Linked DNA regions of Lonchura striata. The protein of the gene in region 1 interacts with the protein of each later gene in a pairwise test. Links are inferred from orthologs where the notes say so. Each region holds a gene or a part of one and is shown in the gene's direction. Other genes may lie near its edges.

The links.
Region 2: the proteins of ERBB3 (region 1) and PPM1B interact in a two-hybrid assay, tested with the Homo sapiens proteins (2 studies listed by BioGRID and IntAct, with this or other methods). The link is inferred for Lonchura striata from reciprocal best matches to the Homo sapiens genes ERBB3 and PPM1B.

The regions. Positions count from the first base shown.
Region 1 is NC_134629.1:9,399,761-9,408,334, forward strand, and holds the start of ERBB3 (receptor tyrosine-protein kinase erbB-3), read left to right. Parts: upstream 1-4,239; 5' UTR 4,240-4,258; coding exon 4,259-4,346; intron 4,347-8,244; coding exon 8,245-8,396; intron 8,397-8,574. Other genes in the region: RPS26 (small ribosomal subunit protein eS26), read left to right, coding at 463-593, 1,964-1,999. UniProt on the Homo sapiens protein: Tyrosine-protein kinase that plays an essential role as cell surface receptor for neuregulins.
Region 2 is NC_134605.1:15,527,077-15,535,233, forward strand, and holds the start of PPM1B (protein phosphatase 1B), read left to right. Parts: upstream 1-4,300; 5' UTR 4,301-4,399; intron 4,400-8,157.

The DNA.
Region 1 (8,574 bases):
ATCCCTGGTTACATTTTTGGGGTCCCTGGTTACGTTTTTGGGGTCCCTGAACCCCGTTTTCCCCCCCCAGCCTACGTGCTGCCCAAGCTGTACATGAAGCTGCATTACTGGGGGTGTTTTTGGGGTCCCTGGGTGTGTTTTTGGGGTTTTTGTGATTCCTGGTTACATTTTTGGGGTCCCTGGGTGTGTTTTTTGGGGTTTTTGGGGTCCCTGGTTACATTTTTGGGGTCCCTGGTTACGTTTTTGGGGTCCCTGGTTACGTTTTTGGGGTCTCTGAACCCCGTTTTCCCTCCCCAGCCTACGTGCTGCCCAAGCTGTACGTGAAGCTGCATTACTGGGGGTGTTTTTGGGGTCCCTGGGTGTGTTTTTTAGGGTTTTTGGGGTCCCTGGGTGTGTTTTTTGGGGTTTTTGGGGTCCCTGGTTACGTTTTTGGGGTCCCTGAACCCCGTTTTCCCTCCCCAGCCTACGTGCTGCCCAAGCTGTACGTGAAGCTGCATTACTGCGTCAGCTGCGCCATCCACAGCAAGGTGGTTCGCAACCGCTCCCGCGAGGCCCGCAAGGACCGGACCCCCCCGCCCCGCTTCCGCCCCGCCGTGAGTCTGGGGGGTCCCCGAGGGGTCTGGGGGGGTCCATGAGGGGTCTGGGGGGTCCTTGAGGTGTCTGGGGGGGTCCATGAGGGGTCTGGGGGGTCCCCGAGGGGTCTGGGGGGGTCCATGAGGGGTCTGGGGGGGTCCATGAGGGGTTTGGGAGGGTCCCCGAGGGGTCTGGGGGGGTCCATGAGGGGTCTGGGGGGGTCCATGAGGGGTTTGGGGGGTCCCCGAGGGGTTTGGGGGGGTCCATGAAGGGTTTGGGGGGTCCCCGAGGGGTCTGGGGGGGTTTATGAGGGGTCTGGGGGGTCCCCGAGGGGTTTGTGGGGTCCCTAAGGGGTTTGGGAGGGTCCCCGAGGGGTCTGGGGGGGTCCCTGAGGGGTTTGGGAGGGTCCCTGACGGGTTTGGGGGGTCCATTAGAGGTTTGTGGGGTTCTCAAGGTGTCTGGGGGGGTCCCCGAGGTGTCTGGGGGGGTCCATGAGGGGTTTGGGGGGGTCCATGAAGGGTTTGGGGGGTCCATGAGGGGTTTGGGGGGGTCCCCGAGGGGTCTGGGGGTGTCCCTGAGGGGTTTGGGAGGGTCCCTGAGGGGTCTGGGGGGTCCATGAGGGGTTTGGGGGGTCCCTGAGGGGATTGAAGGGTCCCAGGTGTGTTCAAAAGGGGTTTGGGGGGGTCTCTGTGGGGTTGGGGGTGTCCCCGATGGGTTTGGAAGGGTCCTGGAGGGGTTTGGGGGGGTCCCAGGGCGGTTTGGGGGTGCCCCAGGCTTCTTTGGGGGCATCCCTGAGGGGTTTTGGGGGGTCCCCGAGGGGTTTGAGGGGTCCCAAGGGTGTTCAGAAGGGTCCTGGAGGGGTTTGGGGGGGTCCCCCAGGGGTCCCAGGGGCTTGGCGGGGTCTGGGGGTGTCCCTGAGGGGTTTTGGGGGTCCCTGAGGGGTTTGGAGGTCCCAGGGATGTTTGGGGGGGGATCCCCAAGGGGTTTGGGGGGTCCCAGGGGTGTTGAGAAGGGACCTGGGGGGATCCCAGAGGGGTTTTGGGGGGTCCCAGAGGGCGTTTGGGGGGGTCTGGGGGTACCTGGAGGGGGTTTTGGGGGTCCTAAAGGGTTCTTGAGGGGGTCCCAGGGAGCATTTGGGGGGATTTTGGGGGCACCAAAGGGGTTTGGGGGGGTCCTTGGGGGTCCCACACAATTTAGGGGATCCCAAGGGGTCTCAGGGGGTTTTGGGGGGTCCCAGGGGACGTTTGGGGGGGATCCTGGAGGGGTCTGGGGGTACCTGGGTGGGGGTCCCACACAGTTTTGGGGGTTCCTGGAAGGATTTTTGGGGGGTCCCATGGGTCTGTGCCCCCCCCCCCCTCCAGCCCCCCTAATTTTGGGGTTCTCTCTGCAGGGAGCCGCCCCCCGCCCCCCCCCAAAACCCATGTGAGGACCCCCGGTGAGGACCCCCGGAGCCGCGGGACCCCCAGAGCAGCGTCAATAAAGGATCTGCCCCAGCCCGCTCGTTTTGGGGGGATTTGGGATTTTGGGGGGTCCTGAGGGTGTTTTGGGGGGGATTTGGGATTTTTGGGGGGTCCTGAGGGGTCTCAGGATCTCCCCCAGCCCGCTTGTTTTGGGGGGATTTGGGATTTTTGGGGGGTCCTGAGGGTGTTTTGGGGGGATTTGGGATTTTGGGGGGTCCTGAGTGAGGGGGTCTCAGGATCTGCCCAAACCCGTTCGATTTTTGGGGGGACTCGGGGTTTTGGGGGGTCCTGAGGGGGTCTCTGATCTTACTCCGTGGTTTTGGGGATTTGGGGGGGCTCCGGGTTCCTCCAGTGTGGCCTGGGGGTGTTTGGGGCCAGACCCCCCGTTTTTGGGGCCAGACCTCCCCCATTTTGGGGTGTTTGGGGCCAGACCCCCCCCATTTTGGGGTGTTTGGGGTCAGACCCCCCGTTTTTGGGGCCAGACCTCCCCCATTTTGGGGTGTTTGGGGCCAGACCCCCCGTTTTTGGGGTGTTTGGGGTCAGACCCCCCGGTTTTGGGGTGTTTGGGGTCAGACCCCCCCCATTTTGGGGTGTTTGGGGTCAGACCCCCCGGTTTTGGGGCAGGACCCTCTCCGTTTTTGGGGTGTTTGGGGTCAGACCCCCCGGTTTTGGGATTTTTTGGGGTCAGACCCCCCGTTTTTGGGGTGTTTGGGGTCAGACCCCCCGGTTTTGGGGTCAGAACCGCCGGTTTTGGCATTTTTGGGGTCAGACCCCTGCCCCCGTTTTGGGGGGGGTCTTCAATGGTCCCTACCTCCCCTCCCCCTCCCGTTCGATTTTTTGGGGAGGGGTCTCGATGAGACCGGGGGGTACAAACGGGGCTGGGGGGCACCGGTGACCGGACCGGGGGCATGGAGAGGGTGAACCGGGACCGGGGGTGTGAACGGCACCGGGGGCACGGAGGGGGCGAATTGAGACCGGGACCGGGACCGGGGGTCGGCGGGACCGGGCGTGTGAACGGGGCTGGGGGCACCGGCGACCGGACCGGGGGCTCGGACCAGGACCGGGACTGGGGGATCTGAACGGGGCCGGGGGCACCGGGAGTCCGGAGGGGCGAATTTGCTCCGGTACCGGGACCGGGGGTGTGAACGGGGCCGGGGGCACGGAGGGGGCGAATTGAGACCGGGACCGGGACCGGAACCGGGACCGGGAGTGTGAACGGGGCTGGGGGCACCGGCGACCGGACCGGGGGCTCGGACCAGGACCGGGACTGGGGGCACCGGGAGTCCGGAGGGGCGAATTTGCTCCGGGACCGGGACCGGGCGTGTGAACGGGGCTGGGGGGGCACCGGTGACCGGACCGGGGGTCCAGAGGGGGCGAACCGGGACCGGGACCGGGGATGTGAACGGGACTGGGGGCACCGGGAGTCCGGAAGGGGTGAATTGACACCGGGACCGGGACCGGGGGTGTGAACGGGACCGGGGGCACGGAGGGGGCGAATTGACACCGGGACCGGGACCGGGGATGTGAACGGGGCCGGGGGCACGGAGGGGGCGAATTGAGACCGGGACCGGGGGTCGGCGGGACCGGGCGTGTGAACGGGGCTGGGGGCACCGGCGACCGGACCGGGGGTCCAGAGGGGGCGAACCGGGACCGGGACCGGGGGTGTGAACGGGACTGGGGGCACCGGGAGTCCGGAAGGGGTGAATTGAGACCGGGACCGGGACCGGGGGTGTGAACGGCGCTGGGGGGCGTACCGGGAGTCCGGAGGGGGCGAATTTGCTCCGGTACCGGGACTGGGACCGGGGGCGCGGCGGGACCGGTGGTGTGAACGGGGCTGGGGGGGCACCGGCGACCGGACCGGGGCTCGGAGGGGGCGAACCGGGACCGGGGGATGTGAACGGGGCCGGGGGCACCGGGAGCTCGTAGAGGGCGAATTTGCACCGGGACCGGCACCGGGACCGGGCTGGGGGCGTGGGGGCTTCACTTGACCGGACCGGAGGGCCCCGGGCCGGGCCGGAGGCGCCGCGCGGGGCCGGTCCCGGCCCGGTGAGGGCGGCCGCTGCCGGTGCCACCGCCCCGGGCGGGTCCCGGGAGGGGCGGGGAGGGGCAGCGGGGTGTCCTCCCCCCCTCCGCCATCCCCGGCCCGGCCCGGCCCGGCCCCGCCCGCCCCGGGGCCCCGCGCCAGGTGCATTCCCGGGCACGCTCCGCCGCTACCGGCGCCCGCGATGGAGCCGCACCGGGAGCGGCACCGGGCGCTGCTGCCGCTGCTGCTGCCGGTGCTGCTGCTCCCCGCGCCCGGCTCCGCGCAGGCAGGTGAGCACCGGCACCGGCACCGGCACCGGCACCGGGGGCAGCGGGGCTGCGCCGTGGGATCGGGCACAGGGGAACCGGGGAAGCACCGGAGCGCTCGGGGCTCCCGGGATGGGCGGCGGGAGCGGGAGCGCTCGGGGGTGGCGGCGGTGCTGCTGTCCCGACTCCGCCGGTACCGGACCCCGCTCCAATCCCGGTAATTCCCGCGGCTGTTTCCGCCGCGGGGGCGTCCCGGGATCCCCCGGTGCTGCCCCCGGGGGGACCGCACGGCTCCGGGGACACCGGGACCGGCGCTGAAACCTCCCCGGGACTGCGGCTCCGGCGGGGCTGGGGCTCGGTGGCCGCTCCCGGGGCTCGGTGCCCCTTTCCGGGACTCGGTCCTTGGCTCGGTGGCCGCCCCCGGGATCCGTCCTAGACTCGGTGCCCCTTCCCGGGGCTCGGTCCCGCTCTCGGTGCCCTCTCCCTGATTCGGTCCCGGGGCTCGGTGCCCCTTTTTGGGGCTCGGTCCTGTTCTCGGTGTCCCCTCCCGGGGCTCGGTGCCCCCTCCCGTTCTCGGTGTCCCCTCCCGTTCTCGGTGTCCCTTCCCGGGCTCGGTCCCGTTCTCGGTGCCCCCTCCCGTTCTCGGTGCCCCCTCCCGGGCTCGGTGTCCCCTCCCGGGCTCGGTCCCGTTCTCGGTGCCCCCTGCCGGGGCTCGGTCCCGTTCTCGGTGTCCCCTCCCGTTCTCGGTGTCCCCTCCCGTTCTCGGTGTCCCCTCCCGGGCTCGGTCCCGTTCTCGGTGTCCCCTCCCGTTCTCGGTGTCCCCTCCCGGGCTCGACACCTGCGGCCCCGCAGCTGCCCGGGCTAATTTTAGGCTGCGGGGCCGAGCCCGGCGATGCTTTTGGGCTCCGGGCGGGACCCCCGAGGGGGGTCGGGGGTGGGGGGGATCCTTCCAGCGGGGGACCCCCGGAGGATCCCCCCGGTGCCGTCCCGCGAGGCCGCCCCGCACCCCCGGTACCCCGGAAGGGCCGCGGCCGCCCGGGAGTTGTTTTTCAATCCCCAAAGGAAAAACACCGAGGGCTGGACGCGCAGGTGGGGCCGGCGCCGCCCCGAAACACCGGGGGATGCCCGGGGGGGGTGCCCGGGGGTGCCCGGGGGTGGGGGGCACACCGGGGGGACCCCTCGCTGTGTCCCCCGCTCCATGTGCCACCGGCGACGCTTCGGGTGCCACCCACGGGCTCCGGATCCGAGGGGACAGAGGGAGCCTCGGGGACACTCGGGGGGCTCGGGGACACTCGGGGGGCCCGGGGACACCCCGGGGACACCCCGGGAGCGGCCCCAGCTCTGCACCCCCCAAACCCCGGCTCTGAGAGCCCCCTTTGTTCGGGGCCCGGCACGCACACAGCCCCCTTTGTGCCGCCGCCGGGACCGAGGGCAGGAGGTCGCTCCGAGCCCCTCCCGGTGCCCCCCGGTGCCCCCGGTGCTATTCCTGGCGCCGGGGGCCGCGGTGGCACGCGGTTGATAGCGGGGACGTGCCGGAGCTGCCGGCGGGGCCCCGCGCTGATAACGCCCGGTCCCGCCGCCGCCGCGGCGCCCGGGGGGAACCGGGGGGGTCCCACCATCGCCGCCCACCCCCCCGCGGGCAGGTGCAACCGGGGGTCGCGGCCCCCCAAAATCCCCCCGCGGGACCCTCGGAGCCTTGAAGGTGTCGGTGGGTCATTAACGGAGGAGCCGGCGGACAGGGCTGGATGCTGCCCCCCGGCACCTTGGGGTCCCCCCCGGTCCCCCCCGGTGTTTCACGGGGGTCGCAGCACCCCCCGGCCCGGGCTCCCCCCGTGCCCCTCCCCGGTGCGGCGGGGCCCGGGGCCGCTGCCGTCGCAGCTGGGACCTTTTTATAGCCCCGTTCCCTGCTCAAATGGCCCGGGCCGGGCCGGGGGGGCCCTTCCCGTGCGTGCCCCGAGCTCCGCCGCCGCCCCCGGAGGGGTCCCGGGCCGGACAAAGCCGCCTTTGACCGCGGCCCCCCCTCCCCGCGCCCCGGCCTGAGTCACGGCTGGCGGATCCGGGGGGGCCCCGCGCCCCTCGGTGCCCCCGGGGGTCCCGGTTTGGGGGGCGTCCCCCGCCACAATCGCGGCTTTGTGCGGTGCCGGCCCCGCGCACAAAGGGGGCCCTGTGCGCCCGCACGACAACCGGGGGACCCCGAGCCGCCGCCCCCGCCGGGACCCCGCAGCGGGGCGGGCGCGGGGCTCGGCCCGCGGGGCGGCGGCGGCGGCGGGGCCGAAGTCCGGGCGGGCGTGGCGGGGCCGTGCCCGAGGCGCCCGCCTTGCGCAAGGCTCGCCCGGCCGGTTCGGGCACCGCGAGCGGGGAGGGACCGCGAGGGAGCGGCGGGGGAGGACCCGGGGCGGGGAGAGCGGCGGGGAGGGGGACACCGCGGGCTGGGTGACACGGAGGGGACACGGCCACCGCGGGCTGGGTGACACGGAGGGGACAGGGACATGGAGGGGACAGGGACATGGAGGGGACAGGGACACCGCGGGCTGGGTGACACGGAGGGGACAGGGACACCGTGGAGGGGACAGGGACACCGTGGAAGGGACAGGGACATGGAGGGGACAGGGACACCATGGAAGGGACAGGGACATGGAGGGGACAGGGACATGGAGGGGACAAGGACATGGAGGGGACAGGGGCGTGGTGGAGGGGACACGGCCACCATGGAGGGGACAGGGACACCGTGGAGGGGACAGGGACACGGAGGGGACAGGGACATGGAGGGGACAGGGACATGGAGGGGACAGGGACACCGCGGGCTGGGTGACATGGAGGGGACAGGGACACCATGGAAGGGACAGGGACACCATGGAGGGAATAAGGACATGGAGGAGACAGGGGCATGGTGGAGGGGACAAGGACATGGAGGAGACAAGGACGTGGTGGAGGGGACAGGGACACCCTGAAGGGGAACACCATGGAGGGGTGGGGACGTTTGCAGGGGACACCATGGAAAGGACAGAACCCCCATGGGGACACTGCCATAGCCAGGAGACCATGGAGGGGACAGGGCCACCACGGGGGCCACCACGGGCAGGACATGTCCAGCTCTGAGGGGACAGGAGTAGTGACCATCCAAGGGACGTTGTGACCACTGAGGAGGTGACACAGCGACCATGGGGACCGTGGCCAGTTTGGAGGGGTTGGGGACATCAAGGGACGTGAAGGGGATGACATGGCCATGAGGAGGTGACACAACCACCACGACCGTGGCCACCACGGGCAGGACATGGCCAGCTGGGAGGGGACATTGCTGTGACCGTGCAGGGGTGGCTGTGGTGGCCCCAGTGGCCCCGTTGCCCATGGTGGCTGTGGTGGCCCTGGTAGCCCTGGTGGCCCTGGTCACCCTGGTGACTGTGGTGGCCCCAGTGACGTGGTGGCCCTGGTGGTCATGGTGGCCACGGTGGCCCCGGTGACCCTGGTGATCCTGGTGGCCCTGGTGACCCTGGTGATCCTGGTGGCCCTGGTGACCCTGGTGGCTGTGGTGGCCATGGTGGTGGCCCCAGTGGCCCTGGTGGCCCCGGTGGCCATGGTGGTCCCGGTGACCCTGGTGGCCCTGGTGGCTGTGGTGGCCCTGGTGGCCCCAATGGCCCTGGTGGCCGCGGTGGCCCCGGTGACCCTGGTGGCTGTGGTGGCCCTGGTGGCCGTGGTGGCCCTGGTGGCCCCAGTGGCCCTGGTGGCCGTGGTGGCCCTGGTGGCCCCAATGGCCCTGGTGACCCTGGTGGCCATTGTGGCCCTGGTGGCTGTGGTGGCCCCGGTGGCCCTGGTGGCCATGGTGGCCCCGGTGACCCTGGTGGCCCTGGTGGCCGCGGTGGCCCCGGTGACCCTGGTGGCCGTGGTGGCCGCGGTGGCCCCGGTGACGCGGTGGTGCCCGCAGTGTGCGCGGGGACGCTGAACGGGCTGAGCGTGACGGGCGACGCGCAGCACCAGTACCAGACCCTGCACAAGATGTACAACAACTGCGAGATCGTCATGGGCAACCTGGAGATCGTCCTCATCGACCACACCCAGGACCTCTCCTTCCTCCAGGTGACCCCCAGGGACACGCGGGGGTGGCCGAGGGGGGGACGTGGCCAGCTCCGAGGGGACAGGGACCTCAGAGGGGACAGGGACCTCAGAGGGGACAGGGACCTCAGAGGGGACATCGCTGCGGTCATCAAGGGGAGGACGTGGCCAGTTTGGTGGTCACATGTCCACCATGGAGACC
Region 2 (8,157 bases), on another chromosome or scaffold:
TTGAGTTTACCTTTATTTACCTTTTATTTGCAAAACATTGCTTCTTTAACATAGAATATTAATACACAATATTATTTTTACTTCTGTGTTTGCTTAACCACAAATTCCCTCTAATCCACATGTTCTGGTTAGGAACTGAGTGCTCTTTTATCACAAGGACAGTGTCCTGAACTGTTTTCTAAAATTCCTCCATGTTTTTTTTAACCAAAGTACTGGAAATAGTATATCCACTTTTCAATTATTTCATTTTGACACTGTAACATTACTTTTAGCCTTTGTCTGTATCTGTCCTTTTTTCTTTGCTATCCATCCTGCATTCTTTCTATTCCCCATTGCTGTATTAACATTTAGTCTTCCTCTTGTTGAGCAAAACCAAGGCAAAATATTACATGAAACTTTCAAAATTTTCCCCCTTCATTTCTTAATGTGAAGATGACCTTATTATCTGTGGTGATTTCCTTCCTTTCTTCACAGATGGTGTAATCTAGAAGGGGTACACAGGGAAGTGGTGAAGAACTAACTACCCTTCTTTAGTGAATTAGTTTCCATGGGAAGTTTACTCAGCTGAAAACGAAAGAGTTTGTTTGCTTTGCAGATAAAAAAGTAACCATGTACCATAAATATTGTCAGTGTCTGAGAATGCCTTCTTGTGAAACCAGAGCAGTCACCATTTGTCAAACTAGTATGAAGGCCAGTTAAAACACTAGATGTATACATGCTTCAGATAACCTGCTAACTTTTATAAAACTGAGGTAAAAGGTGAGAAAATTGCATGAAAACACTGCCAGATCAAGTAGCTTCCCAAAGGTACTGATTTTTTGGTAGGACTTGATTTACAGTTTATTAATTTGAACATTAAACAAATGTAATTATTGAGATTTGTCAACAGAAACTTCTAGAAGGATTAATTGCCTCACCAATAACAATAGAACATTAAAAATCGGAATTTTAAAAACCCTGTAGAACTCACCTTCATTCCTCTTTAGTGCAGTATCAAAGCTGTTTGCAAATTACCTTTGTCCCATACTATTTCCCATTTATTACCATTTCTGTAGTTCACAGTTATTTTCATCACTACTAAGAGTAAAATGGGCATTGCATGTAATAAAAAATGCCGACTCTTTCAGGCATGCACATCATCGTTGATCCAACACACAAATATTCCCACAAATATCCTGCCTTGGTAATCTTAAATGAAGCTTAAGTGGAGCCAGCCATGAAATGGCACAAAATCCCTGGATTAGCCATTAACTCCACATTGCCACATACAAACCATTATTTCACCTACTTATTACTTCACCGCCCACCCCTGCTGCCTGTCACTGCTGCTTGCTTCTTGCCACACACACCTCTTGAGCAATGCCAGCGTTGAGTTTTAGCCCACAGAAACCAGCCAGATACGCACATTTTCTACTGATTAGGAATGTGCTGTTTACACTGGGTTATGGACTCGTGTGCACAGTGTAGGTTTTCAGTTAATCTCTAACATTTAAGCAGGTCATGTTTGAAAAGCTGTAGGGGATAACGCTTATTACTTTAGAGAAAATGTAGGGTAATATTCATTATTTTGGGAAGTCCACTCTTCCCAAAGAATTGTAAAGGTTGTACAGCTAGTGAGATGATATGGAAAACTTTTTCTAAATTTGTTATAAAGCCATATATGAAATTAGGTAAAAGGAAGGGGATGAGAACCCCTGTAAAAGCTAGAAGCAAGGAGAAAGGCAGGGTCAGCCTAATCTGTGATCTCTTGCAGTATTTCTGTAGATTTTTGTTTTAGTTTTCACTGGGGGGAAGAGTGGCTGCTACAGTAAATGGGATGGAAGAGTCAGTAGTAGCTGTGTATACAATGTACATACTGAGCAAAATTATCTATTGATACCCGGAGTATCTCTCTGGCAGGTGCCCAAGAAGCAAAGTAGAGGATGCAAACAGGGACCTGATAAAATTACAGCCCAGTTCCATACCTGCTGAAATCTGTGCAAGATGTATGATTACTTTAAAGAGTACCAAACTCTTAAAAAATTCCTTAGTGAATAGTGAATCTCTTGAAATAAAAAGTTTCAAAAATCCAAGAAATATCTAGGCTAAATAAATTTTGCATTAATCAACCCTAAGATACAGCATTTTTTTGCCAGATTTGTCACTGCTTTAATAATACATGAATTATATTTAAATGACTATGAGATATAAGCCTGAGGAAAGGGGAAAAAAAAAAAAGAAAAAAGATCCCTAGCTATATAAAAGTATCTTGAGTCCCAGATCATGTGGACACTGCAAAGTTAACTAGGTTGATTGGCAGCTGGGTCTGGGCTCTCAAATTAGCTTGTCTGTGAGCAAGTTTTCTATGACAGAAGGGTAACCGCAGCCTCAGCATTCTGGCTCTTTCTGAACTGGCTCACGGGTGCCTGTGCTGAGGCAATCTAGGTTTCATTCTCATTCAGCTCTATCAACTGGCAGGGAGCTTTGGGAAGCAGTACTGGCACACAGGGGTGAATAGCTCATCTTCTTGGTGTGGAGTAGATGCATTTGAACCCACAGAGAGCAAAGCATCTGCTCCTAGAGGTGTAGCTGCATCAGTCACCTGAGAGAAAAAGCGCCCTCAGAGTTCTGTGCAAGGATTTCCTAACGTGAGCGGTGGTGCCCGTGACCTTGGAGGCAAAAGCTGAACAGCATTTTCTGCACTGTGGACGTAACTCTGGAGGCCCTGGAAAAATAATCCCATAGTGTGTCTATGTGGAAGACTGGGAGGGAATTTCAACTCCAGATAGAAAAGCTCCCAACTTTTTCAAGGTCGGTTTACTTTGTAAACACTCCAGAAAATGAACAGATGAATAAATAAAAATGCTTTACGAGCAGTGTTTTGAGCCGTGGTCTCAAGTTCTGCGTGTGACAGGTGTTCATTCACTTTGATGTATTCAGTGTGTGGGGAGGAAACACCTCAGCATAAAGAAGGGGACAAGGGCATCAGCGAACTATGGTGTGGGAAGAGGTATGCCATTTTGGGAATGTAGCTTTGCCAGGGGAGGTTTAGGCTGGGCATCAGGAAGAATTTCTTCGCAGAAAGGGAGGTTAGACATCAGAATAGGCTGCCCAGGGAGATGGTGCAGTCACCATCCCTGGAGGTGTTTAAGGAAACACTGGATGTGGCACTCGGTGCCACGGTCTAGTTACATGGTGGTGTTCGGTCACGGGGTGGACTCGATGAACTCAGGAGTCTTTTCCAACCTGATCGATTCTGTGCTTCAGTGATTGCACTCTGCAGGCGGCCGGCCCCAGTGTCAGCAGGGCGCGGTGGAGGCACCAAGGGCGACCACGAGACGCCTCACTCGGGCACCCACACGAGCGGGACCGCGGACCCTCCGTCCCCTGAGCCGGGACACGGCGCTCGATCCCCGCGGGCAGAGGGGAAGGCAGAGGAGCGAGGAACCTGCTCCAGCCCCGCTCTTTGCAGCCCCGGCACCCCGAGCGGCGCCGTGCGAGGCGCAGCGGGTCCCGCCGGGGCGGCCAGGCCCCGCCCCCTCGGGCGGGACGCCTGCCCCCGCGCGCCCTGATTGGCTGGCGGTGATGTAATCGCGCGCACATACGGGTACTCCCCACGGCCCCCCGTGGGGCACGGGGGAGGTCGCGCGCCTCTCGCCCGCCCCGCGACCAATCGCCGTGCGGAGCGGCTCGGGGCGCGGGCCGCACCGCGCTCGGCTGCCCCGCCGGCCGCGCTTGATTGGCAGGGGCAGCGGCCAATCAGGATAAGGCACCCGCGGGTCGGTTCGCGCCCCCTTGGCGAAGCGGCGGCCGGGGCGAGAGAGGCCGCGGGAGTGGCGGCGCCGGGAGCCAATGGCCTGAAGGCAAACCGTGCCGCCGGGAGGGAGGGGATGGGGCGGCGGGACGGAGGCTGGGAGGGGCGAGGGCGCTCGCTGACAGCCGCTTCCGTCAGTCCTGCCGAGGCTGCGAGGCCGGAAAAAAAAAGTGCGGAGAAAGACGGAGTCCGTGCGCTGTCGTCTTGACTGATGAGAGCTGCAGCCAATAGTTACCAAAGCAGACGAGGGAGACCCAATCAGAGGAAAGCTTTTCGGCGGGGCCTGCGCGTGAGCGGCGAGCGCATCTGCCAATGACAGTGAGGAAGGGCTGTGCCGACGGGGCCGGCGGCCAATGGGCGGCGGGCCGGGGCGGGCGGGCTGAGCCCGGCCCCGCCCGCCTCTCCGAGCGCGGTGACGCGGGCGGGGGGGACGGCGGCTCCAACATGTCCGCGCTGCTGGCGGCGCTCCGAGTGCGCGACCGGGCGGCGGCGGCGGCCGGCGGCGGCCTGCGCGGGGCGGCGCGCACCTGAGTCCGAGCCAGCACCGCCCGCACCCGCGCCGGGCTCCGCAGCGCCGCCGGGTGCCGGGGGACGCGGGGCACGCAGGTAGAGCGGCCGGGGTAAAGCGGGGGAAGGGGCTGAGCGGGCGGGCCGGGGCTGCGGCGCCGGGGGGGCGCGGCGAACGCGGCGTGCGGCGGGTGCGCCCCCGGGGAGCGAGCGGGCGCAGCGAGGCCCGGCCGCCGCCTCCCTGCCGCCGCGGGAGAAGGGAGGGCCGGGGCCGCGCTGACACGGCCCAGGCCACGCACGGCCCTGTGGCGGGCGAGCCGGCGGCTCGGCCTCGCCTGGGTGGCACCGGAGTGTCCGGCGTGTGCCGGCGGCCGGCGGGCTCGCGCACGTGCATGGGCCGGGCCCTGGGGAGCGCCGGGCCGGGCCCGCGCTACCGGCGGGCTGGGTGGGGGGAGCGGCGGCACGGCCCCGGTGTCGGGGAGAAGGTCCGCAAGGCCTGGGTGCTTCTGACGGGCTGGGGATGAAAGCACGGGCAGATGGGCAGTGCCTGGCAGCTTTAGGCGGAAGGAGTTGAAGGCAGTTCTTAGTCGTAGTTTGGAGCTTGCTGGCTCTGCGAACCCAGTGGATATACTTTTATTATAATCTACAATAATACTTCTCTCGGAAGGATGGCGTAATTTTGATGAATTCACTTGGAGGCAGCTAGAAAAATCTGTACCTCTCTCGTTTTGTGTGCTGCGGTATGTTGAGGGATGTGTTTTTACTGTGGGGATGCAGGTGGTGGGTGAAACCACACGTGTTTGGGAGTAGTGGTACAGGAAGGCCTGTGAATATAGGAGTAATAGGTAAACGGGCTTCTGTGTGTTTTGAGAAATAAGGTGGTAAGTTGGCAGGCGTCTAAAGGCTATGGAGGAGGGAGGCTTTGGGTGGTAGGGAAGCCTGTATACAAGTTACAGGCACAGTGGTAACAGGTTGCTACAAGGTTCTGAACTTGTTTTGTTTCGTGGCCAGTGTGGTTAGACTTAATGTGCGAGACCTTAGTGTGTAATATGAGCTGGTATGTGGACAGCAAGTCATGCGTGTTCCTACTGCTGTGCTTTGGTTTGTTTGCTGCTCACACTGGGAGCTGAGAGAGATGCCCGGCTGTCACCGGCTCGATGAGCTCTCTGTCTGGTGTGTGGACATGGGCTAGAGTAGCGAGCAACGTGGTCTGTGTCCTGGAAACTTGAGAGGAGCTGTGAGTTGATGTTTCACGTGTAATGAAGTGGAAAGGCTGGATATTTGTTGTTTAGTTTGTGGAATACAAATGGGAAAACATGTAGCAAATGCTAGCTGTTGGGATCATGATAGTGCTTTTTGGAGAAAAGTCTGTGTGTGTGCTGGGGAGCTGTAGAACTGTAGTTACATGTTTCTGACAGGTATCAGGCACTCTAAATTTCTATTAGATCATCAACACTGTCTTCTTGTAGGTAAATTTTCAAGGATGACTGTGGACTATAGGAAAGTGAGGGGGCTTGGGTGGGTATTTGGGAATGGTTGAAAATGGAGGGAAGAATGAACTTGTACCCAGGGTGAAGATTATGTTAGGATATGTATACATGTGTGTATCAGGGGAATGGTATTTGTGCAAAAGGGAAGCTGGAGTTTTCGTACTGCTGAGTTGGTTAATCTGTGTATAAGAGAGGAGGCAGGCGTTTTTGGCTGAGGCTATGAAAAGTTGAAATGGTGTGGGGGAGGGATGATGAACCGGCTCCAGGGTCCTGTACAGGTTGGTGGCTGTGGGGATTCTTTGCTGCTCATTGTATGGAGAGAAATATTTTATAGTTATGATACCTGGTGAAAATGAAAAAAAGTGAATAAAGATGATGAGGCAGTTTAGTACTGTTAGGAATATTACTGGATTAAAGGAGGTTACAGGACAGTCAAGGGGTTTCTGGTAAAGTAAGTGCTTTTTTTGTTTGTTTATTTTATTCTGTTTGTTTCACTGGATAAATTGACCATTAACTTTAAAGGTTAACTTTTGCTGAAACTAGCACTCATCATGGTGTTGACAGGTCAGTGGCTAACTAAAAGCACTTAATGTGGTGTAGACAAGTTCTTGTGTGTGTGCGCTTGGGCTCCAGTACATCCATTATGTGTATGCATTTTCTATACCTTAACACTTAACTGAGTTTGCATATCCAGAGTATATGAAGTTTTCTATACTGGACTTGTGTTTGAGAGAGTACATCAACACTGGAGGGTCAGAGGTTTGTGAAGAGACAATCCATTTAGAATGGAATGCTGCTTGGATCAATTGGAAATGAGCATTAAATATGTGTGTATTCCATGTTCTGAAGTCTGGGATGGTATGTTCTGTTTATTTGTGTAGGCCCTTATCTGTTGTTCTGCAGATATTTAGAGGAGGCTGTTACATAGGGCGGTGATTTAATTAAGGCACAAAACATCAGGATGAGGGACATGTAATTAATGTAGTATGGAGAGGGCTGCATAGGGAATGCTGAGAACCCATTTTTCTTTTGTAGTGGTATCCATGAGGTGACCAGTTAGTGATGTAAGGAACAAGAGAAAGAAATGAGTAGTCTTGTAGCTATCCTGGACAATCCAGTTCTTTTCTTGTCTGGGGTACATTGCTCTTTTAAGCTTTTCCAATGATAATCACTAATATGTGCTTCTGATTTAGTAAACTTGTCTCAAGAAATAAAAATCTATTACAATTGAAATTCAAGCCTGCAAAATGTGTGTGTTGAACAATTGTTTCACATGCTCACTGTCAAAAACTACTGCTCTCAGGGGTCCAATGGAGAGCAGAGAGTATTTCTTATATGAATCTGTTGCTTCCATATGACAAAAGGGAAAGGCACTAAAATCTGCTCCTAGTAGTGGATGTAAAAATCTGTGTTTATGAAGTATTTGTGTTACTCTTTGAAGCAGGCCTTATTTAGACTGCAGCAAGGGATGGGATGTGCATGGAACAGTGGTCAGTGAGTATTGAATGTCCTCCTTAAATGGAGCAGACTGCAGCACACCTTGCTGAATGCTGCTGCCACAGTGTTTAGCAGGGCAGGGGTGGGCTTGGTTTGTCAGTGTGGTTTCTGTTGCTTGATTTGGTCTTGGGTTGTTTTTTTGTTTTTTTTTGTTTGTTTTTTTTTTTTAAAAAACACTGAAAATGAAAATGGATCATTTGGTAGTGCCTTGCATCATCAGTCCAGTAGGAATGCTTAAATCTGCCATATAGGTTTACTGCTGTAGCTTAGGAAGTGGGAAATGGCTGTTCTTTTCCAGTCAGCACTGGAACATAATTAGCTAACCATTGGCTTTTACAAGCATGGTTTCTTCCAAATGAATGGGAAAGCCTTGGTGAAAGAATCAAAGCTCCAGACTCCATGTTTCGACTGTGGAGAGTGATTACTGTAACAGGCCATACATATTTTTGTGCCCATAGTAGTTTTGGTTTTTTTTCCCCTAGGACTGGTTCTTTCTGCTCACTACCTTAATAAAATATGCTCTATTTTGTTTGGGGTTTGTTTTTTTAGTTCTTGTCACTTGTCCACTGATCTCTCTGAATTCAATGCTGCACTTCCCTGCAAAAGAAGCATTCTTCAGATCTTGGGCCTTTTAGCAACTGAAGTGATTCAATATGAGTATTGTTCTTCTCACTAAATTGGAGGAGAGCAGTGGTAATTTCTTTGGAAAACAGTTGAAATCAAAACTTTTGCTGTCTTGGTTCCTTTCTTACGTATTACTTTTTAAATTCTGTGCTTCAGTTTATGCTTGATGGTCTTCATGATTTGGCTTATAGCTGTACAGGGTGTGAATTGTAACTTCTTATTTCTCACTGTCTGTTAGCAATGTGA